4 linked regions of the Rhinolophus ferrumequinum genome follow. The protein of the gene in region 3 purifies or fractionates together with the protein of the main gene of each other region. This does not show direct contact. Links are inferred from orthologs where the notes say so. Each region holds a gene or a part of one and is shown on either strand. Other genes may lie near its edges.

Region 1 (7,191 bases), on a different chromosome or scaffold from region 3:
AACCTTAAGTAATATTTCTGAATGATGAAATAATGCAACTACTTTTTGGGAAATAATGCCTCTTTCATCTAAGACCATTTCAGATGAGTGCAAAACCCTAAAGTTTCAAAACTTTAAACTTCTGAAATACACTAATAAACAATTTTGGGGGTAAAATTAAGAATTAAGCACTTCAACTGATTGAATCCAGCTTCTAAAAGCACAAGAATAAGGCAGCCCCTCAGAAGACGTGCAATATATCCATAGCACTGTTTTCTTGCCCACGTAAATCAATCCTTACAAGACAATAAAATGCATCCCTTGAACAAGCATTTCTTCACAGAATATGCCAATCAACACCACAATCTCAAAATAGGCAAGTTCAAAAAAACTAAAAATCTTCCTTCAGAAATAAAAGATGCTGTCAAGATGCTTCTGAGCTAAATGCTGATGCACCTATTTCAGCTTAATTATCTAAAAATTATATACAAACATGAAGATGCATCACCATTTATTTGTGAGTGAAATTTATATAGCAAGGAAACCTTTATCATACAGACCTCAGACTTTTCTTTTCATGGGTTTCATATTTATAATCTACTGTTCCTTTCATTTAATTCAGGAAAAAATAATAAAATGAGGCATAAAGAATGAAGAATTTAAGACTACTTTCCAGAAAGGTTAACTTTTAAAACTGTTCTTCCATTGCTTGGACAATACAAAATGTTCTTCAACTATTAACAGACTCATCTGCGAGGAAAATTTTCAGTAATCAAGATTTTGAACATTCTATACTCAAATTCTGCATTATTAAATGCTTTCTTACCTTCTGCTACATCATCATCTACTGCTCCTTTCACCTGAGAAAAACACCACTGAATATCATTCCCTCCTCCAGCTCCTAGAAAAAAGAAAACATACCAATTAAAACTGAGCTCCGTTCATGTTTACTCCGGTCAACACTGAGATGATATCCATGGTTGGCATGATACTAATAGCCTCATACTGCCCACATACATTACCACCACCCCAGAGCACTAATTTGAAAAAAGGCTAGTCCCCAATAGCTGGTATTGCTTTAGAAAACAAGAGATTCGGGGTATGAAATATTTAAAGGCCATGTACTGGCATTAACACTATACATGTGTTTAAAACATCCTTTTCCCTCAAATACAGTAAAAACCTTACATTCAAGCACGACCTACCAGGAAAAAGCAAATACCAAAAGTTAGAGAGTTTTCCTTTAAAGAGTGTTTTCCTTTAAAAAGCCTGCTTCTAGAAGAGTCAATAAGGTTAAACTACCATAAAACATGGCACGAGGAGAAAACTTCAGGAACATTACTGCCTGCCTGAGGAGCAAGGATTCATAAGAACCTATCACCAAAGAGCACATACAGCAAACACAACACTCACCACCCATTTCTTGCATTTCATTACCAGCAAATCACTAGCTCGAGAGGAAAAGCAGAAATGAATACTGGTGAAGAGACTGTCAAAAGGAAGCTTGTTTTGCCTCCCTTCACCTTATCCCTCAGATTCCAGAGGACCTTGCAGAGAATTAATTTTGCTAATTTGTCATCTTGTGCGAAACAATTTTAATTTCACTTAATTATTCGACAAGGCCAAAGAGCAACTTGTTTATAGCAAACCATAAGTAAACCCAACATGTTAACTTTTCAAAGATTTAATCATCTATCTAAATATTGAAAGAAGCCCGGAAAATTGGTTTAGTCTCTGAATGTTTCTATTTCACTTCTAAGCACTTGAGGAGGAAATGTCCTGCATCGATGGATAAAGAAACTGAATCCAGATCTAGAATTGATTCTACTACATGAAGGATACTCAGCAACAGCAAAATGTACAAAAGTAATCCTCAAAGCAATTATCTTGCTCTTCCTTCACTTCCATTCCTTGCTAAATATTCCAACCTGGTTTTCTCTATGTATCCCCTCTCCATCCCAAGCTTTTACCTAAATCCCTCTACCCATGGCTATTTATATCACTGAACTCCACAACTATTTTAACTAACTCGATTGAATGCCTTTTGGGAAAAGGACATCTGCACAAAAGCTAACATGCAAAACGGAAAGTTGAAATCACATTTTTCATGCAACTTGCTGTATTCAAGACCTTGCACTCTTTGGATGTAAAGGGTAAGAAACGAAAGGGAGATGGTTGGAAACAAAACAAATCAGTCTCAAAAATATACGTACCCACAGTGGGGAAAAATACACATATGTACCGATTGCATTTTAACTTGTAAAGCACTCTTCCTTCTCAGTGCAAAATATATTTGTATAAACACTCAAGAAGGCTTGCAGCAGGGGAAAAAATAGTAATTAAATGAAGGAAGATCCGCCAAAAAGCCCGGGGCGGGGAAGTGGGGGGAGCAGAGGTTACACCAGGCTCCAAAGCTGTGGGGACAAATCTGCACTCGCCCCCACCCCGCCCCACCCACGCCTTTACCCCACAGCTCGCCGGCATACACCCCACCCCCATCCATGCCAAGGTTCCAGCCCTCATTTTAAAAGCCATTTCGGTATCACAGCGACCACTCGCCTCACCAGAACCCTCCCCACCCTCACCCACCCCACTTGACCAATTCCCCGAAATCCAAGGGGCGCCCCGTGGCTCTATGAGAGGCAGAGGCGGTCGCTAGGGGGTGATGGAGGGAGGAGGAAGGAAGCGGTGCCTTGTCACTGGCCGAGGGTGATTTCTCCTTTACCTGCCATGTTGCGCTGCAAATGGTGACCCTGCTGGGTTCCTCGGGGTCTCTGCTTCCTGAACTCACCCCCCTCACCTGGGGATGGGGGGGTAGAGAGGGCGGATGGCGGCGGATGGCACCTGTGGGGGGAGGGGGCGGGGGTCGGGGAAGAAGGAAGGAGGGGCGGGCAGACCAGCCAGCAGGATGGTGGATTTCACTCTTGTGCTTCCCCGCTCTTGCTCTTTCTTTAGCAGCGGCGGCGGCAGCTACGACAGCGACGGCGGCGGCAGCGGCAGGGGCTCCACTTTCAAAATGGCGCCGGCTGGCCTGGCCGGTGACGTCACCGGGGGCGGAGCCGCCGGGCTGGGCCAGAAGGGCGGGGCGGGGCAAGAGCTGGGACGGACAGCAGAGGGGAAGGGGCGGGGGAGCTGCCGGGCAGGCTTCTGGCTCCGCCCCTTCCTCCCCCTCCCGGCTGCTGTGTCCTAGGTGGCTAGCCCGTGCCGCGCCCGGGAACGCACGCTGATGATCTGGTCCCTGTACCGGCTCTCCCCGTCTAAGCCCCGCGGCCCTGCTGCACATCACGGTGTCCCAAGCCTTCGTGACAGTGTCCTTACCCTGGGACGGGCTCAGCTGTCCAGTTCAAGTGCTCACTGAGGGATTCGTGCAGACCTGTGTCTTTTTAGAGAATACCAGTATTGCTACTTAAAATAGTGACCCTGTGGGTTAGCCCTGAGTCCACTGAAGAAAAGGGACAGTGGTGCAAACTCGCTGCTTAGCCAAGGTGAAAGTTCACAGAACTTAAAAGGACGTAGCTGGAATGGTTCCATCTGGGTGACCCGGGAACTGAGGCGAGAGTCCTTGACGACTGAAAGCAGTTAAGAGTGGTTACTAAACAGAACACTGAGTTTGCTAGTAGCAGAATATGGCTGGAAGAGTGGCCCAGTTCTGTCCAGCTAAAAGTGTAGAAACAGTGTTTAAGAGCTGGGCTCTGAAACCTGGCTGCCAAATGCTAAGTCCACACAAGAGATAATGGTAACAATTCTACTTTATAGGATTGTTTCAAAGATTAAATGACTTAATTTGAGTACATAACTGTTAGCTGTGGTTATTATTAAATTTGTATTGAAAGCATCTTCAATAGATTTAAGAGGTATAAGAAAAAAATAAACAGAAAACACTAGTTATCAGTCAAGAGGGCATGTGCACTTCATTGAAAGATGAATTAATGATGCAGTCACAATATACTACTGTACATTTTACATGTCACTTAATCTCCACAGTAATCCCATGAGATAGATATCCAAATTTTGGACATGAAAAACACCTGCAAAGTATTTAGAATTTGACCTTAAGGCTGAAAAGAGTGATAAGGCATTTGGAGACCAAGGGGAAGTTTACAATATTTACCTCCTGTCCATCATTTCCACTTTCTACCTTAGTCTTGCTCTCCAGAAGAGTTCAATTACAAAACAAGATTCAGAATTCTTCCACATGAAACAGCTGCACCACTGTATTATTATTCCTCTGTTTCTACATTAATATTTCTCACTTTACCAATGAACAAATCAAAACTAAAAATCCACCCTGTATCTGTCATCTTTCAGCTACCTGTACAAACAGGTACAACATTTCACTTCTCTGTTTGCTGTATTTACTTCTATTTTGGTTGATTCCATAAATTTATTTCTCAGCATGTGCCTTTACTATTCATTTTCCTTTTCACTAGTGAGAGCTCTCCACCTTAACCAGAACTCAGAGGGAGCGAGGGAGGGAGGGAGGGAGGGAGAAACAGAGAGAGAGAGAGAGAGAGAGAGAGAGAGAGAGAGATTGAGAGAGAGAGAGAGAGAGAGAGAGAACACAGACCGTTCAACTGAAAACTAGCACCCCTATATGCAAATCATTTTTCTTTTTTATGCTTCAATTTTTGCCACGTGTAAGATTTGAATCTTCACACATCCTGAAAAATGATTTGGTCTATATAAATGATGTGTTCTTCTTAGAAGACAAGAAAGCTTGCCTAGAAACTGCGGTAATGATAACAAAAGTTCATACAGCACTGACAATGTCCTGGACGCTGTTCTAAGAGCATTGTATACAGTCTAGAGGGCACTCCATGTCATGAGATGAGCTAAGGGGGGTGTAATATCGAAGGTCTGTGCATCCTGGCGCCCAGGTACACGCAACCTGGCACGTTTTGACCCTGAACAGTCATATCAGTGGAGCACAAGCCGCCTCCCTTTCTTCTGAATGGCTCTTAAGAAGAGAGGCCAGAATACCCACCAGCATAAAGGCAAGGGTTGCTCTAGTCTAGCCCCCCTTCCTTATCTTGCATTCTAGCCTCCATCCTCTGTACTAGGGCTTCTGTCCCTACCACTTCACTGAAATGGTTTCTGTCAAGGTCTTCGATGATCTTCATGTTACCAAATCCAGCAGTCACTTCTTTGGTTTTGTTAGCTTCCCAAAAGCATTTGAAATGACTAATTCACGCCATCCTTACTGAGACCATTTTTCCTTGACACGCGATTTGTTTCCTTCCAACCTTTCTAGCCACCCCTTTCAGTTTTCTTTGCTGACTCCTTCTCCCAGACTATCCTCTAAATGTTAGGGTGATCTGTCTCCCTGGCCTCTGTCCTGGGTCCCCTTCTCTGATCACACACTCTTTTGGGCAACCTCTTATAGTATTTCCATATATTTACAGATGTAAATACCATGAATTTACTAGTGGCTGCCAAATCTAGATCTCTAGCTCTATCCTTACCCCAAAATTGCAGATACACACACACACCTCTACCTGCCTACTTGACATTTTTACAAATGTCCAATAAGTTTGTTTGAACAAGCACTGCCAGAACACAAGTCTCGATTCTGTGTTCCCTCCATTTGGGTTGATGCTTTTTCTCTGCCTGGAAAATCACTATCCAGTTACCACTCCGCTCCAACATTCCCACATGCCTATCCCTCTTTCCTTCCTCAGCCAGTAAAAGGTTCTTTAAAAAACAATTCGGATGTAACTTCCTCCAGGAAAGCTTTGCTCATTTCCACCCCCATTCCTTACTCACCTTAAAATGGGCTGGGTGCCCTTCCTAAATAGTCTCATACAATCTGATGCACTTCTCTCTTACTAGATTATGTTTAAATTATTTAAATATGTGTCTGTTATTAGACTGAATTCTTTGAGAGTAGGAAATATTCTTATTCATCCCTGTATCACCAGCCACATAATTTTTTGGATTAATGGATGAATGAATAAATCTCTGGCTTGGGAAGAAAACCAGTGGAATATTGGCTTCTTAAAGCTTGCCATATCATAAATGTTTTCACTCACCCTTCTTATGCCTAGAAGAAGGAGGCGTTTTGCAAATTATCTAGGTTATCCTGATGTACATTTGTTAGGCAATAGTTGGTTAAAGATGTAAGTTGCTTATAGATAGATTCATCCCAACTACTTGCATCCAACTGGTCCTTTATCCCTGAATACATATTATCCAAGGAAATTCCATGGGACACCATTCCCTCATCCACATTCTACCATGAGAGCATTTTTTCAAGGGAGCCCCTAGTCAGCCCTTCAACACCTGACCACTTGTGAGATGAACAAATAGCTCCCTGCAGAACTGAGTTCAGCTTAGACACACAAGAGGAAACTCGCTGTGGGTTTTCCCTGTGAAGTCCTGCAGAGCCTATAAGTCCTGCAGCTGTTCTACTTACAAGCTGAGCTGAGAGGTACCAAGAACACCCACAATCCTGCCAGCAGAATGGAGCTAACGGACTCACCCGTGGGTTGTTTGCAAGACAGCTTTTTAAAGTGTATTATACAATGAGAGGAGAATTACTTGCAAGTTGTTCTTTTCCTTGGAGTTAAGACGAACACAAACCCTCTTCTACACTAAATGAGAAGTGGCACTCTTTAGATGCTTCTTTCCTCTAGACAAGTTAGAACTAGGGGTGTCTAAGAAAGACCGTGAACTCCAGGGTAAAAGGAGAAGTTCCTAATTAGAAAACGATAGTTTAAAATATTGGTAAACCCACCACAGCCATGCTTTCTGATATGGAGCAGATTCAAGGGCTTTACAGGGGAAAATTTCAAGTATATTTTTATATACTTCCTTCATATCTACAAATTTGGCCTGAAGTCAGCTTCCCAAAACTCTGTAAAATCTAGACTATAATGACAATTCACACAACAACATTCAAGGTGTAGAACTCATCAAATCACCAAAAATCCTACATTAGCAGGTGTTTAAGAAAAACGACAGTGAATCCACCAGGTGGATTATTACTTAGTCAAACTTTTGTAAAAACAGAGGAAATTGCTTGTGCTTCAGGAGCAGGATACAAAAATGCAGATGCAATATGATCACAAGTACGTACAAAAAACAAACAGAATATATGTAGAACCGAAAAAGACAGGAAGGAAATGTACCAAGGTGTTCCCAGAAATGTCCCTGAGCAGCGGCACAATGGCTAATTTTTTCTCCTTTGACATTTGAGCTTCTCCAAATATTCTA
Region 2 (7,343 bases), on a different chromosome or scaffold from region 3:
TGAGGATGGGACCGACAGACAAGGTAGCTGGGAGCAGCTCTGGAACATAACACTCAACACTGTGAGCTGTCACCACCTCTGGGCTGGGACCTCCACAAGGGGCGGGGGGTTGAGGGACCCGCCTTCAAGCCTGAGGTGCTCACACTGTTGAAGACAGACAAGCGAGGGTTATAGTATCGTGTGGCGTCTGCTAACAACATTCACCCAGGGCACTGCCCAAGGAAAGGGAGCGGGCTGGGTAATGGTGACATCACACGTGAAAAATCTGCACATTTAACAACTTCCAAAAAGTGATCACCGTTCAGAGCACAGGTTTTTGGAGGCACCACCTACCAAACAACTTCTCACTTCCACTGGAAGCGTCCCTGGGTGTTACGATTCTCACTCGCTCCCCTAGGCAAAAAAGCTCACCTAATGCACCTTCGGGGCCACCTATGGCCATAGCCAGCTTGCTGTATGGGAAGGAGAGTGAGGCATGTGAGCAGTGACTGTTACTCATGCATCGTGTCATCAGGACAATCACTCATTTCCTTCTGAGCCCAGCTCTGCACCTACTCGCAGGGAGATGGGAAAGCCCTGATGGTACCATGGCTGGTCTGACCCACGAGCAAAACCCTGTTCTTAAGAAGAAGAGAAACGGGCATCAAAGTTTACACAATACAACACTTTCTTCAGGAGTTGGGATTCAAGTGTCCCAACATGATTAGCTTTAAAAACCAAAGGAAATCAAAAACCTCCCTCCATTGTGCCCTCTCCTCATCCTTCAAAGTCAGGGGAGCCCACACCTCCTGAGACTCACTAGGTGCTGTCCTTACGTCACTGGAGGACCCCAGCTGATCATCTCAGCACTTTCTGATCACCCAAGGCAGGGTAAGCACACGGTCCAAGCTTACGGTGGGACTCCTCATGTAGAGCTCAGACCAGAACAAAACCTTCAAGAACACAATGCCTGACAAGCCTCCAATCTTAGCAAATAAACTTCCGGTCCAAACTTCCCTGAAATTACCCATCTCCTGTCATCGCTTCCCAACATTTCTTCATCAGGGTGTCTGGGCACAACCAGCTTCTTGACCATCTTCACTCTCGTTGCGTAACAATCACTAGCTGCTAACAATGACGTTTTCCTTTATCATCGACTTCTATTGGAACAACGCGATTCAAACGAACACAATTTGACAGAACAACATGACAAAGGATGAAGAGTTATAAATGTGTTACTCTGATGGATTACAGAGGCCAGATCATACATGGATTAAGACACAAGCCTCTGAGTACACACAACAATCAAAAACATGGGGGCTGTCACCACAAAACAAATCTCACAAAAAGATAACCTGAAATACCAAGCTTTTAGATGTATTCAAAATTCTACTAAAACTGCAAAAAAAATTCCTATCAGTTTTAATTCAGAGGACAAAACAGTTGTCAAGATTTTTTAAAGGACAGCCTATTTTCAAAGTGCAACACCCCACTTAAAATATGTCATTTTAGTTGCATTTAAATTTTAATTTATTCGGCTTGTAACTTCTTTAAAAAAAAGGGAAAGAAACCAGAAATTAAGGTAGACCTCAAGCCCTCTCCCCTCTCTACCCCTAAACAAACAGGTTTTGCTACTCTTGATAGAAATTTTGTGTAAACTGAACTGTCATTCACTTGGCATATATAAAATGAAAATATAAATAACTACATAAATAACTATAGAAGGAGCAGGATCAAATTACTCAGAGTATATAAAATCACCTAGTTTCACTCTCAAACATGCGTCGTCACAAATTTCTTGGAGCGCCCAGTTTACTTGCTTTACTAATGGGGCGCTGTCCTCGGGGCCAAGAATCTCCAGAAGTCACACTGCGGGTGAGCGTGAGCGGTGAAGGGCAAGGATGCAGAAGGTCATGGGAGGGGCCAAGGAGGAGGAAAGGGGACACGACACAGAGGGACCCGAGGCTGTCCGTTACTTGGGGGCAAAAAAGGTGCATTTGGTGTAAAGACAATGAATTTTATAAGAAGGTTACGGGTTCACAATGTTCGGGAAGATGGTTGAGCAACGAGAAGTCACGATGTGGCCGGAAGTAAACTTCTGGGTTTCTAAGAATCAGGGCTACCCGCGACCGTGTGTGCGGGAAAGAAGTGCGCTGCTTTACTTTAGGACAGGCAGCTTCCTGCCCACCACCCTAAATCCCGTGTACCTTGGCTCGTTTAGGGGCACGATTAAGGAAAGAACAACCGACTTCAAGTAACAGCGTAAGGTTCAAGAGTAAAACCTGCAGGAGGAACTTGAAAGAATTGATAATAAAATCCCAATCCTCTTTTTCAAGTCGAGGGAACCGAGGCCAATCAGCTTGCCCAAGACCCACAGGTGACTAGAGCGCCTGGGTGGGGACCTGAGGCCTCCCCGCTGCAGTTATCCCGATTTTGTTTCTCGAGGCCCGTTTCTGCAGCGATTTCCACAGTTCTGCCACACGCAGGAGGCAGCCACCTGCAGCGGAAAAGACCCAGAACCCAGCACCCCGTCCGAAAACCCCAGCTCCCAGCAGGCTCTGTGACCTTGGGCTCCTTCCAGACAGAGCCCGCGCTGGGCAGGCCCGCGGTCTCGGACCCGGACCCGGGCAGTTCCCCGGAGCGGCCACGAGACCAGGGTCCCCGAGGGCCGCGGGCGGGTGCGGGCAGGGGGCGCGGACGCGCGCGGCCTTACCTTCGGCCACGTCCTCGTCGATGGCCCCCTTGACCTGCGAGAAGCACCACTGCAAGTCATTGGCGCCCGCGGGGCAGCCGCCGCCTCCGGCTCCTGTGGACACACCCGGCGCGTCAGGCCGCGCGGACCCGCCCGTCCCCCTCCTCCGCCCCCGCCCCGCCCCGCGCGGACCCCACCTGCCATGGCCGGCCGCAGGCTGGCGGGCGCCGAGTCGGCGGCGGACGAAGGAGGCTGCCGCCGCGCAGCTGCCGCGCGAGCACCTTAACCCGGCTGCCGCCGCCAGCGCCGGGGAGGGATTTTTTTTCCCCTTTTCAAAATGGCGCCCAATGCCCGTCGCCCTGCTCAATGACGTCATTCCCCTCCGCCTCCGGGCGGGGAGCTCCCCTGCGCTGGGCTGGGTGGGGCGCGCGGCCGCGGGGTCTGCCGGGGGCTGCCGGGAGGCGCCAGTGCGTCTGCGCGGGCCGCCCCGGGCTTTGTCCCAGGCCCGGAACGTGGCGCGGCGGGGTGGCCAGGGTACGTCGCGGCCAGCGGGCGGCTGTGGGCCCGGGGCTGGCGCGCCTCTGAAGACCAGCGGCAGGACCACCGCTATTCGCCCGTCCACCTCGGGGGTCATGGGAGGGCTCGAGGCGGCCCCGCCCGCAGCTAGTGGAGCGCGGCCAATAGGAGCGCGGTCCTTCGACGGAGCAGCCAATGGAGAGCACGCTCTGAGGGGCCGCACCTGGAGCGCGCCGCGTCCGAGCGCGTCGGAGCGCGTCCTCGCACCTGGCGGGGCTGCAAAGCTCTCTCTTCGGTCCCAGTGTGAGCTCCGGGAAGTCTGTGTTCGACTTGGATGGCAGCCAGGAGAGACCAGGTGAGCGAGGAGGGAGGGCGGGCAGATGGGGACGAGGTCCAGGGGCGGAGCCCCGCAGGAGGCTGAAGAGGAGCCACCTGTGAGGTGGGCGCCTGGAGACGCGGGAGCGGGTGGAGCCCGTGAAGCCGGGAGGGGGTGGTCCGCTCTTAACCGCTGCGTGCGGAGCGCCGAGAGGGCCCACTGGTTGTCGCGAGCGGGGTGCCATTTCTGACCCGGAGGAGAGCAGTCCCGGAGTGGACGGTGCAAACCTGCGCTGAGAGCGTTTTAGAGAAAGTGACAGGACAGTTAGAGGCAGTGAGTCACGGCAACCCTTTGTTGTGAGGACGAGCAGAGAAATGGGCCGTAATCTTTTTTTTTTCTTGTTGATTTAGCCGGTCTGCTCCTGAGCTGTTGAAAACGTGAGTCAGACTCTCTTATATGCAATGGCTTTCATGTGTGTTTAAGATAAGTCTTTTGAAGATAATTAGTTTTAGTTTAGACTGTATTCTTTGGTTAATTAGCTACGATTAAATTAAAATTTAAAAACAAAAGTAGCACAAAAGTACCGTGTTTCCCTGAAAATAAGACCTAGCCGGACAATCAGCTTTAATGCGTCTTTTGGAGCAAAAATTAATATAAGACCAGGTCTTATATAAGATTATATACATTATATTATACTATATTACATAAGCCCGGGTCTTATATTAAAATAAGACCGGGTCTTATATTAATTTTTGCTCCAAAAGACGCATTAGAACTAATGGTCCGGATAGGTGTTATTTTGGGAGAAACATGGTAATATATGCCTGAAGACAGTGAGCTGCCTTCCTTTGTATCTTAAAACATACGCTGTTGTTCTTCCCTGAATAACTTAAAAAAATTTTTTTCTTTGATTTATTTAGATTTTGGTAACTAAATACCATTTAAAATACTAAATGTGGATTGTTTCCAAGTTCAGATTTAGTAGCTAGCTCTGAGTTATCACAGATGTACCCTCTTGATAAGGAGTGCCATCTTCCACTCGAACTAAACACACCAGATTTTAGGAAGTTGTTCATATGAGGGGAATCCTGGTCCGCCTTCCTATGGGTTACTCGCCTTGGCCTGGCCGACCCAAGGGAGCAGCCACAGGAAGCCCCAGTGTGTGTCCCACGGGCCATTCATTGGGCCATTCATCCTCATCGTGCGACGCCAGGTGCTGCACACACAGCTGTGTCATAGAGTGCAGTGGCTGCAATTGTGTCTTGGACAATTTTTTTTTTTTTGTAAATTTAAGATTTATTATTATTATTTTTTAGAGCAGCTTTAGATTTACAATAAAATTGAGAAGAAGGTACAGAGATTTCCCACACAGCCCTGCAAAGCCTCCTCCCTTATCAACATCACTCATCAGAATGGTACATATTTTACCAGGGATGAACCCACATGGACATGCCATAATTACCCAAAGTCCATAGTTTATGTTGAGGTTCACTCCTGGTGGTGCACATTCTATGGGTTTGCACAAATGTACACTGACACGTATCCATCATGATAGTGTCACACAGTATTTTCACGGCTTAAAAGGACTTTGTGCTGTGCCACGTCATCCCTGCCTCTCCCCAACCCTGGCAACCACCCATCTTATTATTTCCATGGTTTTACCTTTTCCAGAATGTCTTATAGTTGGCTTTTTTTCATTTGGTCATGGGCATTTAAGATTCCTCTGTATCTTTCCATGTCTTCATAAATAATTTCTTTTTATCACTGAATAATATTCCATTGTCTGTGAAGGTGAGCAGAGTTGGCCACCCCAAAATTTGCCACTTTGGGATGTTGATTATTTGAGGCTGGTTAGTTTTAAGAAACAGCAGACGTGGGAGAAGCTTTGAGAAGCAAGAAGTTCTGCTGAAGGGCATTCATTTGTGAGGGCAGTGTCCATCTGTCCGGCATCTCCATCACTGTGCCCAGCCTGCCTTCACCATCGATGGAGAAGGCGGGGACGCAAGTCTGCACGACAGCCTGACTCTTGTTTCTTGTGCTTTTCCTGACAGCCTGCCATAGCTGACTCTCCACCCCAGCATCTTCTGTCTGTAGCCGAAGGTGGTATTTAAGGTGATGGTTTCTGCCATTTTGGTGACTTACTCAGTGTTCCTGGGTCTCTCCCATGTGTACAGGAGGCAGACATGTTATTAAACGTTAGTTTGTTTCTCTCTGCTAATCTGTCTCGTGTTGATTTGATCATTCGTCCAGCCAGAAGAACCTTGAGGGTACAGGATAATTTTTCCTCCCCAACATCTGGATGCAGCACAGTTTGTTTATGCCTCACCTACTGAAGGACGTCTGGATTCCTTCCGAGTTCTGGTGATTGTGAATGAAGCTTTTCATAACCTGCTGCCGCCTTACTGCTGGAGTTCAACAAGGCATTGAACTTCATTCCATTTTTTCTCTTTGTTCCTGCCAAGAAGGGTTGGCTCCTTGAATTTTTCTTCAGATGATGAAGAAAGGGAAGGAAGGAAGGAAAAAAGAAAGGACTACGTTACATGACATGACTTGACAAAAGGGACTTGGCTGATGTAATTAAGATGACAGACTTTAACTGTGGGGAGATTAGCCGGGATTATCTGTGTGCCCAGCCTAATCTCATGAGCTTTCAGAAAAGCCTAGCACTTTCTCCAGCTGGACTAGAGAGATGCAGAGTGTGTGGGGGGCTTAGCCTGCTGTTGCCGGACAGACCACACGGAAAGCATGAGAAGGGATGCGGCAGCCTTTGGCAGCAAAGACTGTCCTTGGCTGAGCCAGCAAGAAAATGGGGCCTCAGTCCTGAGCGAACTGCAAGGAACTGAATTCAGGCACCAGCCTGGAAGGGCTTGGAAGTAGACTGGTTCCGGGAGCCTCCAGACAGGTGCACAGCCCACCGAGAGGTGCCATTTTCAGCCTGGACAGAGCCAGCGGAGCCCACCTCCGACCTCCAGGGCTGTGAGATGACAGATGTGTGTGGTCCCGAGCCATTAGCTGTGGTAATGTTGAGGGCAGCAAAAGAAAATGGATACAGTGTGTCTGGTGTGAAATAAACAGACTCGTGTCCACTCATTCGTCCAGCTGTTCTTTGCTGTGTGTGAGTCTAGGCACTTAAATCACTCTGATTCACAGTGACATGGCGATGTGGCAGCCGTGTACGAACAGCTGAGTGCCAGCTGCGCCTGTATTTAGGCAGAGGGGCACCTCCTGAGGACTGGCGGGCACAGCTCGAGGGGACATCTGTGCTCTCAGTGTCACGCGTGCTCTCCAAGAGTCTGGACTCCCCAAGCATGCTCCATGATCCTGGTTAATGCTCACGGAGCCCTACACCTTCACGCTGACATCCCATTTTAGGCGAGGAAACTGAGGCTGAGAATAACTCGCCCAAGGCTTCGCAGTCACGCAGACTTACAGCCCATTTAAGCTCAGTTGTAACCTCAAGGCCCAGGTATTAGGAAACAACGGGCAAGGACACCCCCGCGTCCTCCCTGGCATGGCTAAGCCGTGGGGAGAACCCCAGCACTTGCTCTGCCTGAACTATACCTGCCTTGCCAGAAATACACCGTCATCCATGGCCCGTGAGCTGAACCGCTCGTGCCCCTCCCAGGACTGGTCTGCGTGGGGTGGGAGGACGCCTGTGCCAGGCCTCCAGCTGCTGCTGGCTGATTCAGTTTTCCTGCGGTGCCCACTCAAGGAGGGACCTGAGCAATGCTGGAGAAATCGTTCCTGATTTCCCTGCCCAGAGACTTGTCCCTTCTGGACGTTTAGCAGCTGGCTGAGACTTGCTTCATGCCGATTTCTTAGTCCTTCCTTCCCCTTAGC
Region 3 (7,677 bases):
TGCACCAGAGAGTGGGTCGGGCTGAAGTGCTGTAGGCCTGACAGGGTGAGGTAGATCCATGGGACGGGCACCTAGCAGTCATAGGAACATTGAGATAACTGGTGAAGCTTGAGTGAGGTCTGTGGGATAAAGGGCAATAGTAATGTATCAATCATAATTTTCTGATTTGGCAGAATTGTAGAGAACATCTTTGTTTATGGGAAATACACACCAAGTAAGTTATTTGGAGTGTTGATGTAAGAAGCGCCCAAACCTGTAGAGAAGTTTATTTGAGCCAATCTGACGACAATTGCCGGGCAGCAAAAACTCAATGTGTTAAGAAAATGCTCCAGAAAATGGCAGTTTCACAGCTTATTTTATACATTACAATCAAAGGAGGAGACATGAGGAGGGTTACATGAAATCCATTTGCGGTACATTAGTGGGTGGTAGAAAGCAAAGCAGGGAAATCTCTGGGATTGAATAAAAAATAAAATGGAGAGACACATACTTCTTTTATATTGGTGGGTACAGAATAGTTAACAATGAACATTTATAGCACATAGAGATGGTATTCGGAAACAGGATAACAATGAGGGGTTCTGTAGTCTAGTGCTCTGGTGCGGTGGGTTGTGCCCCCTGGGGGATCCAGAAAAAGGGATTACTCTGACATTCCAAGGATATGTTATCTTAGATGCAAAAAGACGATAGACAGCCTCACTTAAGGTAAAGATTGACCTTTGTCAAGGACACTACAGGCCAAGGACATGACTACCGGCCATGTCCTGCTTTCAGTTAGGAATTTATATGTTCAGACCATCCTGTGTGGTTAACTTCGGTGTCTGAGTTTGTAGGGCCTGCTGTGCTGGCCTCCTCTGAGATTGTCAGGGTTTGTATGTGGCCCCTTTTTCGTGCACAGGAGTTATGGGGCAGCTGCTTGCCATGTATTCTCAAATGGTTCAAGGGAAAATATTCTTTGTGTTACAACTTTTCTGTAAGTTTGAGATTGCTTCAAAATAAAAAATAAAATAAAATCCTCTCCAAAAAGTTTTTAAAATTAAAGCTAAGTTATTCAATTGTGTTGCATACTGCTATGCAGCCAAATAAGACAGTTCACCTTGAAACAGACCATCGGAAACCTTAGCAAGAGCACTTTCCAGTGGACAGTGAAGGCAGACACCAGAGTTAAATAGAGGTTGAGGATGAGACAGATGGTAAATGGAAATGACAGATGCAGTCAGCTTTTTTAGGAGTTTAGCTGTGAAGGCGGAGGAAGGGCCCTTAAAAGAAGGGGAATCATAGTTAAGGGTCTGGAAACAATGATGTATACTAGTGATGTTTGAAAAATTAAGAGTTAGCCTAAACAGGGTTTGGGAAGTCTTGGAGAAGTTCTGTCTTCAGATATTTGAAAACCTCGCAAGTCAAATAGGTGCTGCTTATTATTATTTTTTTTTTTTTGGAGGGATGAACTAAAACCAGTGTTTACAGAGAAATGGATTTTGGCTCAACATTAGAAAAATCTCTTGATCTGTCCAGCAGTTGAATAGTTGCCTTGTGAGCAGTGAGCCTCCTGTCACAAAAAGTGGACAGTGAGAGGCTGGGAAGTCGGTGTTACAGCCTGGTTCCTGGATGTGACGCCTGTATTGATTTAGGACTGAGACTGGATGGATCTGTGCTCCCACTGCATCCTTAGGCCTATTGTTGCCTGAATGTTTAAGTAGGAGTTCTTAGCCCTTTGTGAGAGCTTGAGTATAACAGGAAATTACCAATTCTTGGGTTCCACATCTGCTTGGGCTCTGTAGTGCTTTAACCACCGATGTGTAGACATTAAAGAGGAAAGGCCAAGGGCCCACGGGAACCTTTAAGTGGGTTTCTTTGTTGTTTCTTGTGCTTATCACAAGTGTAGATAATTTCATATTTGCAGTGACCAGTATGTCTTTTGGTTCCTTAAATATCACTCTAGATGGGTCTGAGTAAAAACGTGGGTGAGTGTGATTGCCCACCTGCAAACAGGCCAGTGACCGCAAAGGCATTGAGTGGAGAATGGAGTGGGAAGTGTTCGTCATGCTGGGAGAGGGGCCGTTTGTGTACTGCAGATTGCAGCAGCCTGGGGGAGTATAGGACTGCTTCCGGGGATTATCCTTTGTATTGTTTTCCTACTGGTTCTTAGAGCCGGACTTTTTTTTAAAACAGTATACTTGGAAGTGAACTGGGTAAGAACAGTATTGTCAGGGTCCCCTATGATTTTATATTCATGGAATATAGGAAACTGACATTTTTTTCTTATGTACTTAGAAAAATAAAAAATATGTTGTCAGAGGAGGAAAAAAAATTGATCGGTTGTTAGCAGGTAAGTGGGAAAACCACAGTAGTGTTAGTTCTGGTGGCTTACAAATAAATAATGGTGCAGGAAGGAGGAAAGGAGAGCAGAGAGGTAAACGCAGCTTAGGACAATGAGCTTCTACAGAAGCTCTCTTGGCCACCAGGGAAAACGGCTCTGTACTTTTCAAGTAGGATTTCCAGGCGGGACTTCCCGCCCGTTCTCAGGAATTTTTTTTACTTTCCCTTTCCCGAATCCCGAGATATAAACTGTCGTCTGTTCCCCACAATGAGTTGTTTCCACACAGTGACAGCCGATACTACCAACCACCTGCCGCTTTTCCCGACCAACTTTTCTCAGGGTTCGGGAACGGGAAAGCGAAAAAAATTCCTGAGAACGGGCGGGAATTCCGCCTGGAAACCCTACTTTCAAGTGTCTATTGAAAGCATGGTCCTTCATAAAAGTACTCTTAAAAATTTCCATTCTGTGTAAAATATGAAATAGAAACCAAAATAGTCATGCTGCCTGTTTAAAGATAAGGCTTTTATTTTTTCCTATTGGTAATTTAAATAATTAAAATGTTATTTCTAAGAGTCTGAACAATTTATCATTAGCAAGTCTCACCCTAATCACATTTGTTTTCCTTCTCAGAACGTTGGTTGAGAGCGTAGTCACTTGGACTCTCCTCTGTAAATGTCCTTAGAGTGGCAGACCACAGGCATCTCGCACGTACTGGCCGACACCTCCTAGCTGCCATCTCACATGGCTTGTGTCTTAGATGGACTTGCCTGCTCATTTTCTCACGCACCTTCTCCTCATGGGCTCCCATGTTAACCAGCTTCATTGTGTCTCTACTGCTCATTTAGGTGGGAGGTACTGGGACTGTCTCCAGCCCATCCTCCAGGTGCCATCTGTCCGCCCCTGTACTGTCTCGCACCCATGCTTTGCTCCCTCACTCAGTCACTGTCCCAGTGGGTCCCTAGTCCTAGTCCTGGGCTTTCAGCCCTGTCTCTGCAGGGCAGTGTTAACCTCAGCATGGAGATTTGCTCAGAAGCTGGCTCTGACTCCTGTTCCCCAGATGCAGATGCTTATTGAGCTCTTAGGGCCTTCTGCCAAGTTTCCAACTTGCTTTCCACGCTGCACCTACTATTTCTTCTCCCTTAAAGCTCTGAAAGCTGTGCTTTCTGGATTAGATACATTTTTTAAATTATTGTCTATTGTTACATACAAAATAACAGGGGCATGGTCCTACACTGAGTCGGGATTCTGACACCAAATTGCCTTACTTGACAAAGTTCATCCTATTGGGAGGTAGGGGGTGCATTTTAAAAGGTGTTTGCTTAAAGCATTAAGTGTCTATATTAAGTATCTATCGCAGTAGATTGTTTCCGTCTGCACAGGCTGAAATACCATTTGGAGATAGAGACATAGAGACAGAGACAGACAGAGAGACGGGGGTGGGGGTGGTGCAGCCTGACATGAACCAGGGAGGAGGCGGACAATCGGTGGTTGTTAGAATTTCTGTTTTCTTTATATCCTTTATCCTCAAGTTACAACCTCCCCCTCATAAAATTCCTTAAGAAAAAGAAAAAAGTGATACTTAGGGGTTTTTTATATGCCTCTGGCAAGACATTATCTAGCTTCTTTTCCCTGAGTCACCAACAAAAGGCACTCAATTGTGTTTTTGAGAGGCCTGGCTACTGTAACGATCCAGTAAAGGCATAACCAAGAATTGGGTTTTCACATTCTGAAAATAAAAATGTAAAAGCAAATATCTTTTGATTAACATATCAGCTCTACAGATAGCTTTATTTGTTCTGTCCAAGAATTTAATAGTTCTATCAAGAAAACAAAGATTATGTTTTTGAAAAATGGAATGATGTTTCAATAGCGTTGTAAGGTATCCAGCAGGTCCCACTTCATTACGATTAACTTTCTGTCCACCCTGTTCCACAGAGGAGTAGAAAGAGAATTTTTTTCAACACGTTTAGAGAATAGATAAGAAAAGAATAAAAGAATTTAAACCTTTTAACATGCATGTAAAAGGCAGTGTTTGCATCATAAAGACATTTTTCTAAATCCATTATTGTATTTTAGATGTAATTCTTCGAGTAGTCAGAACTTTTAAATGTGTTTGAGAAACAAAATAGAGTAGTTGCAATTTAGGAATAATTTATTTAAAATACATGTTATTCCTCCGCACATTTGAACAATCTGTCCAATGCAGTCCATGTGGGACTTTGCTTGTACAGTTCTGAGTGGGAATCAGTAGTGTCTTTGTGCGTTGCTTTGGAAACAAATCAGCCTATCCTGAATGCTGTTAGATCATGTAGAGTGATGCTCACATCGCAGTGCAACTTCATCACAGAGCAAGCTGGCGCTGCCATCTCCTCGCCCAGCTCTCCTCCTGGGAGCCCAGCACCATGCAGGACCCACCCCGGAGGCTTTTGGCCGTGCCCTTCCTCAGCAACTTCTTCCAGGGCCGTCGGCACTCGGCCTCAGACCCCATCCTGCGGCTGCCGCCTGGGCAGTGTGGCTCTGCCACCAAGATGCTCTCCTCATCCTCTTTCCAGGTGATGGTGGCGGTGTCCTCTGTCAGCTGTGCCAAGAGAAACCCACCTTGCCCCGAGAGAAAAAGTAAAGCTCCTTTTCTTCTTAAAGATTGCCATACCTTTGAGTTTAAATTTAAGGGATGTGAAGAGGCTGTGCTGTGTTTATACCTTTTTAAATTTTGACAATTCTTCATTATACTTTTTACTGTCTGTTACACTAAGAGTTTTGGTAGATATGTAATAGGAGATAAAATGATTGAATGTTTTGTGCTTGTTCATTGAAAATATAGTTTTTGAACAAACCTCATTTCCTTATAAAAGATCTGCTTTTGCTGTTCTTCCTCTTTGTGACCAGTATGACATGTGGAGGTTGTGTATGAAAGTCTTTTCCATGTTAAGAGATAATGCACTTACATGCAGGGAAAATGGTTTTAATCATGGCAAAATGAAGAGGAGTTAGCACTGGCTCCTCATCTGCAATCCTGAGATAAAATGCAAGCTGTTTCTCAGGTCACTGTTCCATATGCAGAATGGAATTTTGAATCTTCCCTTTATTATATGTTCTAGGAAATACAGGACGTCCAACAGCAAAATATACAAAAGTTGGAGAGCGTTTGCGGCATGTCATTCCTGGACATATGGCCTGCTCCATGGCGTGTGGGGGCAGAGCGTGCAAGTATGAAAATCCAGCCCGCTGGAGTGAGCAGGAGCAGGCCATTAAGGGGGTCTACTCGTCCTGGTGAGTAACTCTGCCGGGCTTTGGTAGCTCTCCCCTGCAGCTAGATAGGACAAGGGAGTGAAGATGTACGTGGTGCCGGGACACAGCGGGCTACAGGAGAGGGACAATGGGGTTTGAAGTCACGACCTCACCTTCCGTGTCTGGCCTGGCCACCTGACGAGCCGTGGCCCACTCACACAGGTGCTCTGAACCTCCATTTTCTCATGTGGGAAATGGAAATAATAAAACCAACCCCATCGCGTCTTTTCTTAATTAAATGAAATGATGTATGTAAATATCTTAAAGAAATGGTAACTTGTGCTCTTAAATTTCAGAAATTGCTAGAAATAATAAAAATGTGGAGCTATAAATTTGAGGAAATTCTGAGGTATATATGTAGTTTTCAGTTTCATACATGTAAGTGTTGCCTATTTTTTATTTTGTTCCCATATTCTGTATGAAAGGACCCATTTTCACACAAATATACTTCCAGTCTGCCTCAGTAGGAGTGGTACAATTGTCGGTTCAGTGGACAATATAAGATGCTTGCATTATTTATGGTGTGTAAGTGCATTCATTATTGAATCATACTGCTTTTCATTAATAGTAAACTGTCAAATATATCTTTTTTAATGTAGTGATATCTGAAAAGTTCTGCTAATCAAACCAAATCCCATTTGAAACATACTTAGAAGAATTCACTGTTTAAAGAATTCTAATGGTGAATCATTTTATACAGCAAGAATCCATTTACAAATTAGATATTTGTCAATCAGCTTTTCTAACTTGCAACCTGTACTTTTTCATATTGGATATGCTGGGCACATGAGTAGTGATATAATCAGGGGTCCACTGTCACTGTTCTCCACAGATCATATTCTAATCCATCACTGTCTTTCTTAAAGAATGTTGTAAAAAAGCAAATATGATTCCTAAGGTGTGGTCAGACAAGTACATTGCTAATAATGTATGTAGCTTAAGGCCACAGTAATATTTTTGATTTATAGCTAACTAAACCATCTGAGTCTTTTTCATCTCTGCTGCTTTCATGTTACATCTCTCCTCATCTCATACTAAGTACTATTAAATTGGGGATTGTCCCAAACCTTTAGGGGACCTTGTTGAATTTCAGGCATTACTCCAGGGGGAGGAGTATCTTTTTGGATCCTGCTCTGTTCATTTAATGTCACTGTTACTCCTCTCAGGTTCGTGTGACCCACAACGTCCGATAGACTGCCTGATGTGTCTTTTACCAGAATACTGATGAGAAATTCGACCAGAATGGAGTGAAGCCAGAGTCCTAATGTGGGACAGCCATTTGTTGGGCCTCTGTCCATTCACAAACTCAGTAAACATTCATTTGTCCACAGGCCAGGCACTGTGCTAGACCTTTTCAGTTATTATCTCATCTTCATAAACTCTTGTGAAGTGGGCATTGGTAATGTTATTTTATTGATGAAGGAATTGAGGTCCAGACAAACGAAGTAATATGCCACACAGCTAGAAAGTAGAAAAGGCAGCATTTGAATCCAGGCTCAACTGACTCCAAAGCTCTTATTTTTGCTAAATTGCAGTAACTGAGCATTTATTCATAACCATGTGTGAGGATTTTTGCTACACACTTTATATTCATGTCGTATTGAATTCTCACACTAACCCTGTGAGGCAGGTGTTATTCTCCCTATTTAATGCATAGGTAGCTGAGCTGCAGATGGCTACCAATCGGCCCTCCTCATTTGGTTAATAACCTTTGGATCTCTATCACAGACTGTCACCTTTGCTGCCAACTGAGGTTTCTCCATTGTGTCCACTACAATCTCATGGGAGTCCTTGAAAATGCTTTGTAGCGGTTCATAAATACTGGAATTTGCCCTGGAATTTTTTCCAGGGATTTAATCAGCTAGGATTTCTTAGAGCCCTAATCATAATGCAAAATCAAAGCCTGATTTGTATAAGGAGATTCTTATGTTACAGAGTTGTTGAAATCATAGAAAAAGTAGGGGCTTGATATCGTGCTCTCTCAGTCCTTAGAGCTGGAATGTCCTAGGTTTTGTGCATCTAATCAGACCCTTCCATCTGCAGGGTCACAGATAACATCCTGGCCATGG
Region 4 (7,600 bases), on a different chromosome or scaffold from region 3:
ATATTGAGGTTGATATCTGAATGACAGGGAGCCAATCCAGGAAGCTCAAAAGAACATTTTATTAGAGGGAATACCTAGGTCAACAGTCTTAAGGCAATAATAAGCTTGGTTGATTCAAAAAACAGAAAGAAGACCATTGTGAATGGAATGAGGTGATCAAAAGGGAATATGGTATGAGATAAGCTCACAGAGGCAGGTTTGTAAGCAAAGGGACAAGCTAAGGTAGGAATTTGGATTTTCTATGAGCCATGGCAGGGAGTGATCCCTGCGAAGTGAAGAGTGAACTGGGGTGGGGGGGAGGGGGGTAGGAGACAAGAGTGGCAGGCAACTAGTTAGGAAGTTACCGCAGTAATCTAGAGGAACAACGAGCTAAGTGATAGGCGGGATGGAGGAAAGTGGACTGATTTAAAATATAGAGAGAAGCTATATAAGTTACTAATGGACTAGATGCGGAAAATGAGGGAAAGAAGATTCAAGAATGTCTTCTAGGTTTTGGCTTGTGTAACTGGGTAGATGGTGATACTATTTACCAAGACGGGACAACTACATGAGAGGCATATTTTTGGGGAGAAAACTGAGTTCTATTTTATGCATGTTAAATTTGAAATGCCTGTTTGACATCTATGTAGAAAAATCAAAGGCAGATATAGAAAGAGACAAACAGATATTTGTATCATCTTTCTATATCTATATGTGGAGTTCCATGGAAAGGTTTGAATAGAAACAGAAATCATGAGAGTCAGCATCATACAGACAGTATTTAAGCCTTTAAGCATACATCCTTATCTGTCCAACTGTGGAATTCCTAGTCGCCCTTCAAAACCTAGTTCAGACGTCATCGCCCAAGAGGTTTTCCCTGATCACCCCAGGTTAATCCCTTTCTCCTCTCTATTACTTGGGTACCTTGTACGGACTTCTATTTTTCCACCTAATACTTTATAGTAATTATTTGTTGACACATAAGAACAGAGACCTCATTCCATTCACAATGGTCTGCTTTAGTATCAACATTATAACTTCAGGGTCTGATACAACAGGCTCTCGATAATTGTCAACTAAATTGAACTGAACTCATCAAATTCACAAAGTAAGTCAGAAATAAAAATTATGCTTACAATCAAAGACAAAAAACTAATAAACATTTTCAAAGTCATGACATTACTAGATAAGAATTAATATTTCCAATTTCAGGGGGGAAAATACCATAAACAAAAACAATCAAATCTTTTTTCTCCCAATCTCTAAACTAACAAGTCTACAGAGGCAGACAAGAAAAGAGGAAGATCTCATATTTGTAGTCAGAAAAAATAAGGGTTAATTGAGTCCAAAGTTATTCTCTCCACAGCTAGCACTAGGACTATCCATAAAAAGATCTGCATTAAAAAATACTGCAGTGTGCCTATCACAAAACAATGTATCATTTATACTGCAAAAATTCTAGAAGGAAGGTAGGCAGAATGTACTCACCAGCAAACAGTGGGCAAAGTCAGGACCTCCCACCAGGCCAGTGAAATTTCCCAGCTGCTCAGCAAGGGCTAACAGTACTTCATCTTCATCATAAATTGTATCTGGAAATGACAACAACCCAGTACTCATCAACAAGGATAGCTGGCCCAGAGCTGGACACTCACACAAAACTAGGAATAGATTCAATATGTAACCAGATGGTCCGGTCACTATCCTAACAGCATTTTCTTCCTTCTCAATCAAGAGTCTTCCTGGATCTGTTTTACACAATGAATTAGAAATTCATAATCCCATTATCAATTACTTTCCTATTAGCTAAATAGTTCATATTTGAATACGTCTGACCACATTACAATATGCTCCATCCTGTTCCTTTTGCACAGAAAGTATCACACTCAGTTTAGTGCTTAACACTGTGGGTAATAAATTCTAAAAAACAAAGTTTTAAAAACCACTGGAAAACAGTAATGCCCATGCCTGTCTTTAAACAAGATTCACATACCTGTAAGGAATGGCAGCAGTTCAGTTCTTGTCCTTTCTACTCCAAGTGCTAGAGCAATTGTTGATAACTTCTGAATACTGTTGAGACGGAGCTTTAAAAAAGGAAGTGGAAAGAACAAAGAAACAGTTGTGATTTAGACCAAAGAAAAAAGTTGCAAACAGGTGAGATAATGACATGATAAAAAGTAGGAAAACCTTTAATTTAGATTTTATTCTATGAGAATCCTCTGGAGCAGTGTAACATGGCTTCGTTGGCCAAAGGAAGATTTCTTAGTAGAAACATTCTGAAGGGCCCATTAGAGAAATGAATGAAAGAGAATACAATATCCAGGAAGTGAGGCAATCTTACAAAGAGAACTTTGGCAGCGGTGAAGCAGGTAAAACGGTTGACTGCAACTCCTGCCTTTTCAAAGAAGAGTTCCATTAGAGCTGATACAGGGGCTCTTCTAGGTTAATTAGCTATCCCTCTCTTTCTACCCAACCAGCCTGGCCAGTCTCCAAGGCGAGAGGATGGCATTCATCCACCGGCACTTAAAAGGGCCCCTTGGCATCCCTGTAGCTTGCTCCAGCCACCTCGCCGCCCGCTCATCAACAAGGACTACCCGCCCAGCTCAGGACTCCCACCGCACGACCAGATAGGGGTGCTTTGGCGGGAAGCCGGTTCTCCCACAACCGCCGACGCCCCAGAGGGTCGGGAGGAGGAATACTGGAGAAGTCCAAGGGACGGCCGGATCGAGCCCCTCACGGATCTTTCCCACCCTCCGCCTCAAGTTTCTGCTCAGAGGCCAGCTCTTTCATCTTTCAATCCCCGAGCCTCCCCCACTTGGGCGCCGGCCTCCCATTCTCTAACACACGCTCTGCCCCGCCCGGCCCGCCTCCGCTCTCCGGCCCGATTCCAGTACCTGCACGTCCTCGTTGCGGAGCTCATCAATTAAAACCGCGATCGGGTATAGCGAATCGTCTCCATCTCCGCCCGCTGCCCCGGGGCCGGTGCCGGGCCCCGCCGCGCCCGCCATGTTCTTTCTCCTCTGCCGGGTCACCGCCACCCGCCCCGCGTCCAGGCCCCGCCCCGCGTCCAGGCCCCGCCCCGCGCTCAGGCCCCGCCCCGCGCTCAGGCCCCGCCCCGCGCTCAGGCCCCCGCCCCGCGCTCAGGCCCCCGCCCCGCGCTCAGGCCCCCGCCCCGCGCTCAGGCCCCCGCCCCGCGCTCAGGCCCCCGCCCCGCGCTCAGGCCCCCGCCCCGCGCCCAGGCAGGCGGAGCTGAGCCCCGCGCTCCGGCTCCGCTGAAGTTGGAAAACCGAGTCTCTCTCCGTTTGGTGGAGACCTACTCCCAGCCCCCCCTGCGAAAACTGTAGTTCTGAACTCCAGAAGGAGAGTGGGCTGGGAAAGCAAATGAAGTCCCCGCGTCGTTTACCCAGACGAAAGAAACAGGGGCAGGGACTCATCCTACTCGTGGTGGTCGGGAAGGGTCAGGGACCTACGTACCTGAATGATCTGTGCTGTGACCTCTTTAGGACTCGGGCGAACCAAAGAGGATGCCCAAGGCCAGGAGGAAAAATCGATTTTTCGCCTCCCCTAACTTCATTCTGGCCCAGAGCCACTGGATCTCCAGCCCTCATTTACCCACTAGCCTCAAGCTTCCACAAAACCCCTCCACCACTTCCTTCTGCCTTTGCGCCAGAACTGTGTATCTGGCTCCTGCTCCGTAAGACAAATAACGCGGGCGGTGAGAGAAAATGAACAGTGTTATCCAAACTCCCCAGTCAATATTTTTTCTGCTTTCTGCATGCAAGCTGTTAAAAACATGCTGCTCTCTTGTTTTTGTGTTTCTTTTCAGTTTGGGACTGGAATGGTGCCTTCTGTTGTATTTTTTTCCTCCCATTTTTTAGGTCTTTAGCGTGCTAAAAGTACAACAAGCAAAAGTAGGACAAGCTTGAATACTTCCAATTTGGGTGGAGTGGCTAATCCAAGAGTCCTCAAAGGCAGCAATGGGAGGAGGTGAGGGTATGGAATTCTTTCTTACAAAACAATGGAAAGTTTTTATTTACCCTTGTTTGGGCAGCACAGATTAACTAGAATATCCTGCCTTTTCTGTTTGTTTTGGAATATAAGCAGCTTAGAGTAATAACTATATATGGCGATCACAAGCTCTGAAATGGTAATTCTGTGTGTCTGATTAATAAAAACGTAAAATTATTAATAAATGCAATTTAGGAAACTTTTTTTAAACACCTTGTACCTGGAAGTAAACGCAATAGATAGGGCATTTGATATTAATAGTTGTGAAAGTGGGAACCAATGGACCTGAACAGTATTTCTCAAATTAGGTCTGTGGATATATTCTCTGGGGTTTTAATCTTGTTTTCATCTTGATGATATTTTTTAGATTTGCATAGACATATTCTGTATTATTTGAATGACCACTTTATATCCTGGTGTTGCCACACGATTTGAACACCTACATTTGCATGTGTGTTTCAGTGCTGCTTTTATTGTTCTGGGATAATGAGAAAAGAACAGAAGTAAATTTATAATGAAAATAGTGTTTTCATGAACAAAATGAAATGACATCAGGGGACTGCACTGATGTTCACTGATGTCACAGTAGTTCTAACAGAAATGTACTGCAAAAAAAGAGATATTGTAGGTCATTTGGTGGCACAGTGAACTCAAAAGAAGCTGAGCTCTCATGGGCAATACCATAGTCACAATACAAGGGCTAATTTGATCTCAGCAAAACACATCATTTGTCATGTTAAATTACTATAATAGTAATATGAATTGTATCAGTTTTTTGGTTTCATTTTTATTTCATTTGTAAATCTATTTTGGTGTTTTAATTGTATAAGAACTATAAATAAAAGAACATTAATTTCTACTTTGTATTTGTAAATTTAAGTAACATTGTGATAAAAATAACTTTAAGTTGACTGAGTTTTTAAGACTTTTTGTCTTTAGAAATGGATTCAGATACTACTCAAGTTTGAGAGACAGGGCTTTTTGATTTAGTACTTTACCAGTTACAAGATCAGAGAGGGTTCCTATTGGCATGGAGAACAGAAATCTGTTCCCTTATACTTGTAAAAAGTCTTCAGAAATGATTAAGGAAGCAAGCGCAGAGAGAAGCACATTAAATCAGTTCCACACATATCATCATCTAGACGTTAGCTCTAGCTTAGCCAAGCCTCGATATGCTAAACAAAAATTAGCACAGTGATTGATGTTAAACAATTTTGTTTAAAACTCAAATATTCTTTGCTTACCCAAGCACAATGAATTGGACACCTATGGAATAACTATGATTAAGTATGAAATCACAAGCTGAGAAAATAGGCCCCAGAAAATTGACTGGTTTTAGAGGCATCAATTCTGGACTTCAGTTCCCACCTCTGTCTCTGACTCATTGTGACCTACTTCTCCCTGTGCCCCAATCCCACCTCCCACGCCCTCACCCCCAGTAAAATGGAGCTCACCACCTCTGGATCCCTCTCTAGTTACTGTGACAATACGAGAATGAAACAGGTAGTAAACATGGAGATGCTAATAAATCCTTTCATAAAGAAAGTGATTCAAACAAACAGATTGCAGCAGAAAGAGGCTATTTCAAAAGCTGGGCCAAATGGAAACTGGAACAAGACAGTCTTTGGGGAGTGTGGTCCACTGACTATCTGAATCACCTAAGATGCTTGTGTAAAAATGCAGATTCCTGGCCCCCATCCCAGACCTAGTGAATCAGATTTACTGAGAATGGGTTGAGACATTTTACCATGGACCCCTGGTGATTCTAATGTACACTGATGTTCAAAGGTCATTGATTTAAAAAGCTCGTCTGCAAAAATAATTTCCATGTCAACAAAAAAGCACCTACTCAGGTAGAGTCTGAAAAGAATCTTTGGAGACCACTTCTATCCAGCAAAAGCAAATGACAGGCATAACTGCTTATCAATAAGCAATTCTGTCCCTATTGGCTGTGGTTTTTGCCAGAGTAAAATGATCCCTCCTTTGCTAGATAATCAGCTAAGCACTACAATTACTGTGGCACTGAGCTGTTTCCATATCCTCCTTCCCTCCTCTCCCCTCCTCTCTACTGCTCCCTGTAGTCTCCTGTCCACGTCCCACACACACCACAAGAAATTAATGACCAAGGAGCGCCAGAGGCAACAGCTGAGATTAGGTTGTGGATGTAAGGCAACCCTCGGGAAAAAATACGACATTCTCAGCACAAAAACACTGACTTCTGACACCCACGTACAGCTCCCTCACTCAGTGAATCAAGGGAAGTCAGGGTTAGACTTGCCCAGTTTCTGTCAGGTGCAGCACAGGCAGATGGGATCAATAGCCATCAACTCTTGTGCTTGTAACCACTCTCAGTGCCATAACAGAAAAGGGTCAGTCCTGAGCAAGTCTGAATGACATCATTGTGCTCTCCGGTCTCTTGCCTCACATTTACTAAGCTCGCCTCTTTCTCACTATGCATGAGAGAAAACAGTATGTAGGTGATTATCGCAGGGTAGACTCAGAAGTGTCATCCCATTGAAAAGGCCATCAAGGCAGTGGTGGGTCATCCAGTTCATGCACAGAAAATCTGAGACACATGCTGGCATTTCCCAACTATCTTCATTTAGCAAGACAACCCTGGTAAACTGATTCTCAGGTTTGAATTGAATTCATTAAAAAGTAGTGATTATCACCATAGCATTAATGATATTTTACATTTCTATTTACACAAAGAATGTCTCCATTCCATGGGACTCAAATATTCTCTCTTCAACTTCACTTCAATATCTTCGTTTCTTTCTCGTCTCTACTTTGTGACCAAATTTTAATCCCATTTTTATACTGGGAATACTTGACAAAGAGAAAGAGACTTTACCTGGAGTTACACAATAAATCAGAAGAAGCTATGAACTCATAATCAGGAATTATTACTACTCTTTGCTTCATCCTCTATGTCCATGCCACAGTTTATCATTATATATAAGAAAAGTATTGGATTTCCAGAGCAAAACTTTCCTTGAATTCTCGGAGCAAATCGAAGAAATGGGACAGTCAGTTCTGATGCAGGGCAGCATATACAATGGTTAAGAGAATATACCCTGGAGTCAGGAAGACCTAGATTGACACATCAGCTCTACCAATGACAAGTTGTGTGACTTTGAGCAAATAACCTTCTGAATCTTGGTTTCTGCATCCATACATCGGGGGTTTTAAAGCATACTTTATGGACATGGTAAGATTAAATCATTCATATATAATGCTTAGATTAGTGCCTGACAAGAGTAAGCCCTCAAATATGTGCCATTAATAGTTATTATCTACCGAGGAAGTAGAAACAGGTAAGAAAACATTCCAGTGAATTGAGCTTTGGCAACAAAGAGAACCAGTGTGAAAGGATGAAAAGAGAATGTGATTTAGAGTTAGAAGACCCAACTGCAAGCCTTCCAGAAGATTTTTTTCATCGGTAAAATAGGGGCAAATCTTACCTTACTTCTCTCTCGGGGTTGTTGTGATTAATAAGATCCATAAGGTAAAGTTCTTTGCAAACAGAAAGCACTATGCAAATATTAGAAGTTATGTTATTGATTACCAAGGGCTCACTGAATTTGATGCCCAACCCAAACACCAAACAGAAAAC

Evidence for each region.
Region 1: the proteins of PTPDC1 (region 3) and PPP2R2A purify together in Homo sapiens (affinity purification with mass spectrometry; 4 studies listed by BioGRID and IntAct, counting the BioPlex papers as one, with this or other methods). This does not show direct contact. The link is inferred for Rhinolophus ferrumequinum from reciprocal best matches to the Homo sapiens genes PTPDC1 and PPP2R2A.
Region 2: the proteins of PTPDC1 (region 3) and PPP2R2D purify together in Homo sapiens (affinity purification with mass spectrometry; 5 studies listed by BioGRID and IntAct, counting the BioPlex papers as one, with this or other methods). This does not show direct contact. The link is inferred for Rhinolophus ferrumequinum from reciprocal best matches to the Homo sapiens genes PTPDC1 and PPP2R2D.
Region 4: the proteins of PTPDC1 (region 3) and PPP2R1B purify together in Homo sapiens (affinity purification with mass spectrometry; 3 studies listed by BioGRID and IntAct, counting the BioPlex papers as one, with this or other methods). This does not show direct contact. The link is inferred for Rhinolophus ferrumequinum from reciprocal best matches to the Homo sapiens genes PTPDC1 and PPP2R1B.

Annotation. Positions count from the first base shown.
Region 1 is NC_046301.1:41,060,593-41,067,783, forward strand, and holds the start of PPP2R2A (serine/threonine-protein phosphatase 2A 55 kDa regulatory subunit B alpha isoform), read right to left. Parts: upstream 3,013-7,191; 5' UTR 2,712-3,012; coding exon 2,705-2,711; intron 881-2,704; coding exon 806-880; intron 1-805. UniProt on the Homo sapiens protein: Substrate-recognition subunit of protein phosphatase 2A (PP2A) that plays a key role in cell cycle by controlling mitosis entry and exit. Involved in chromosome clustering during late mitosis by mediating dephosphorylation of MKI67.
Region 2 is NC_046299.1:1,054,387-1,061,729, forward strand, and holds the start of PPP2R2D (serine/threonine-protein phosphatase 2A 55 kDa regulatory subunit B delta isoform), read right to left. Parts: upstream 2,876-7,343; coding exon 2,869-2,875; coding exon of another isoform or gene 2,786-2,868; coding exon 2,693-2,785; coding exon of another isoform or gene 2,561-2,692; intron 478-2,560; coding exon of another isoform or gene 435-477; intron 1-434. Other genes in the region: transcription initiation factor TFIID subunit 4, read left to right, coding at 435-477, 2,561-3,542. UniProt on the Homo sapiens protein: Substrate-recognition subunit of protein phosphatase 2A (PP2A) that plays a key role in cell cycle by controlling mitosis entry and exit. Involved in chromosome clustering during late mitosis by mediating dephosphorylation of MKI67.
Region 3 is NC_046295.1:6,097,866-6,105,542, reverse strand, and holds the start of PTPDC1 (protein tyrosine phosphatase domain-containing protein 1), read left to right. Parts: upstream 1-4,658; 5' UTR 4,659-4,722; coding exon 4,723-4,936; intron 4,937-5,418; coding exon 5,419-5,590; intron 5,591-7,651; coding exon 7,652-7,677. UniProt on the Homo sapiens protein: May play roles in cilia formation and/or maintenance.
Region 4 is NC_046294.1:80,154,950-80,162,549, forward strand, and holds the start of PPP2R1B (serine/threonine-protein phosphatase 2A 65 kDa regulatory subunit A beta isoform), read right to left. Parts: upstream 3,015-7,600; 5' UTR 2,985-3,014; coding exon 2,871-2,984; intron 2,530-2,870; exon of another isoform or gene 2,393-2,529; coding exon of another isoform or gene 2,318-2,392; intron 2,061-2,317; coding exon 1,970-2,060; intron 1,569-1,969; coding exon 1,468-1,568; intron 1-1,467. UniProt on the Homo sapiens protein: The PR65 subunit of protein phosphatase 2A serves as a scaffolding molecule to coordinate the assembly of the catalytic subunit and a variable regulatory B subunit.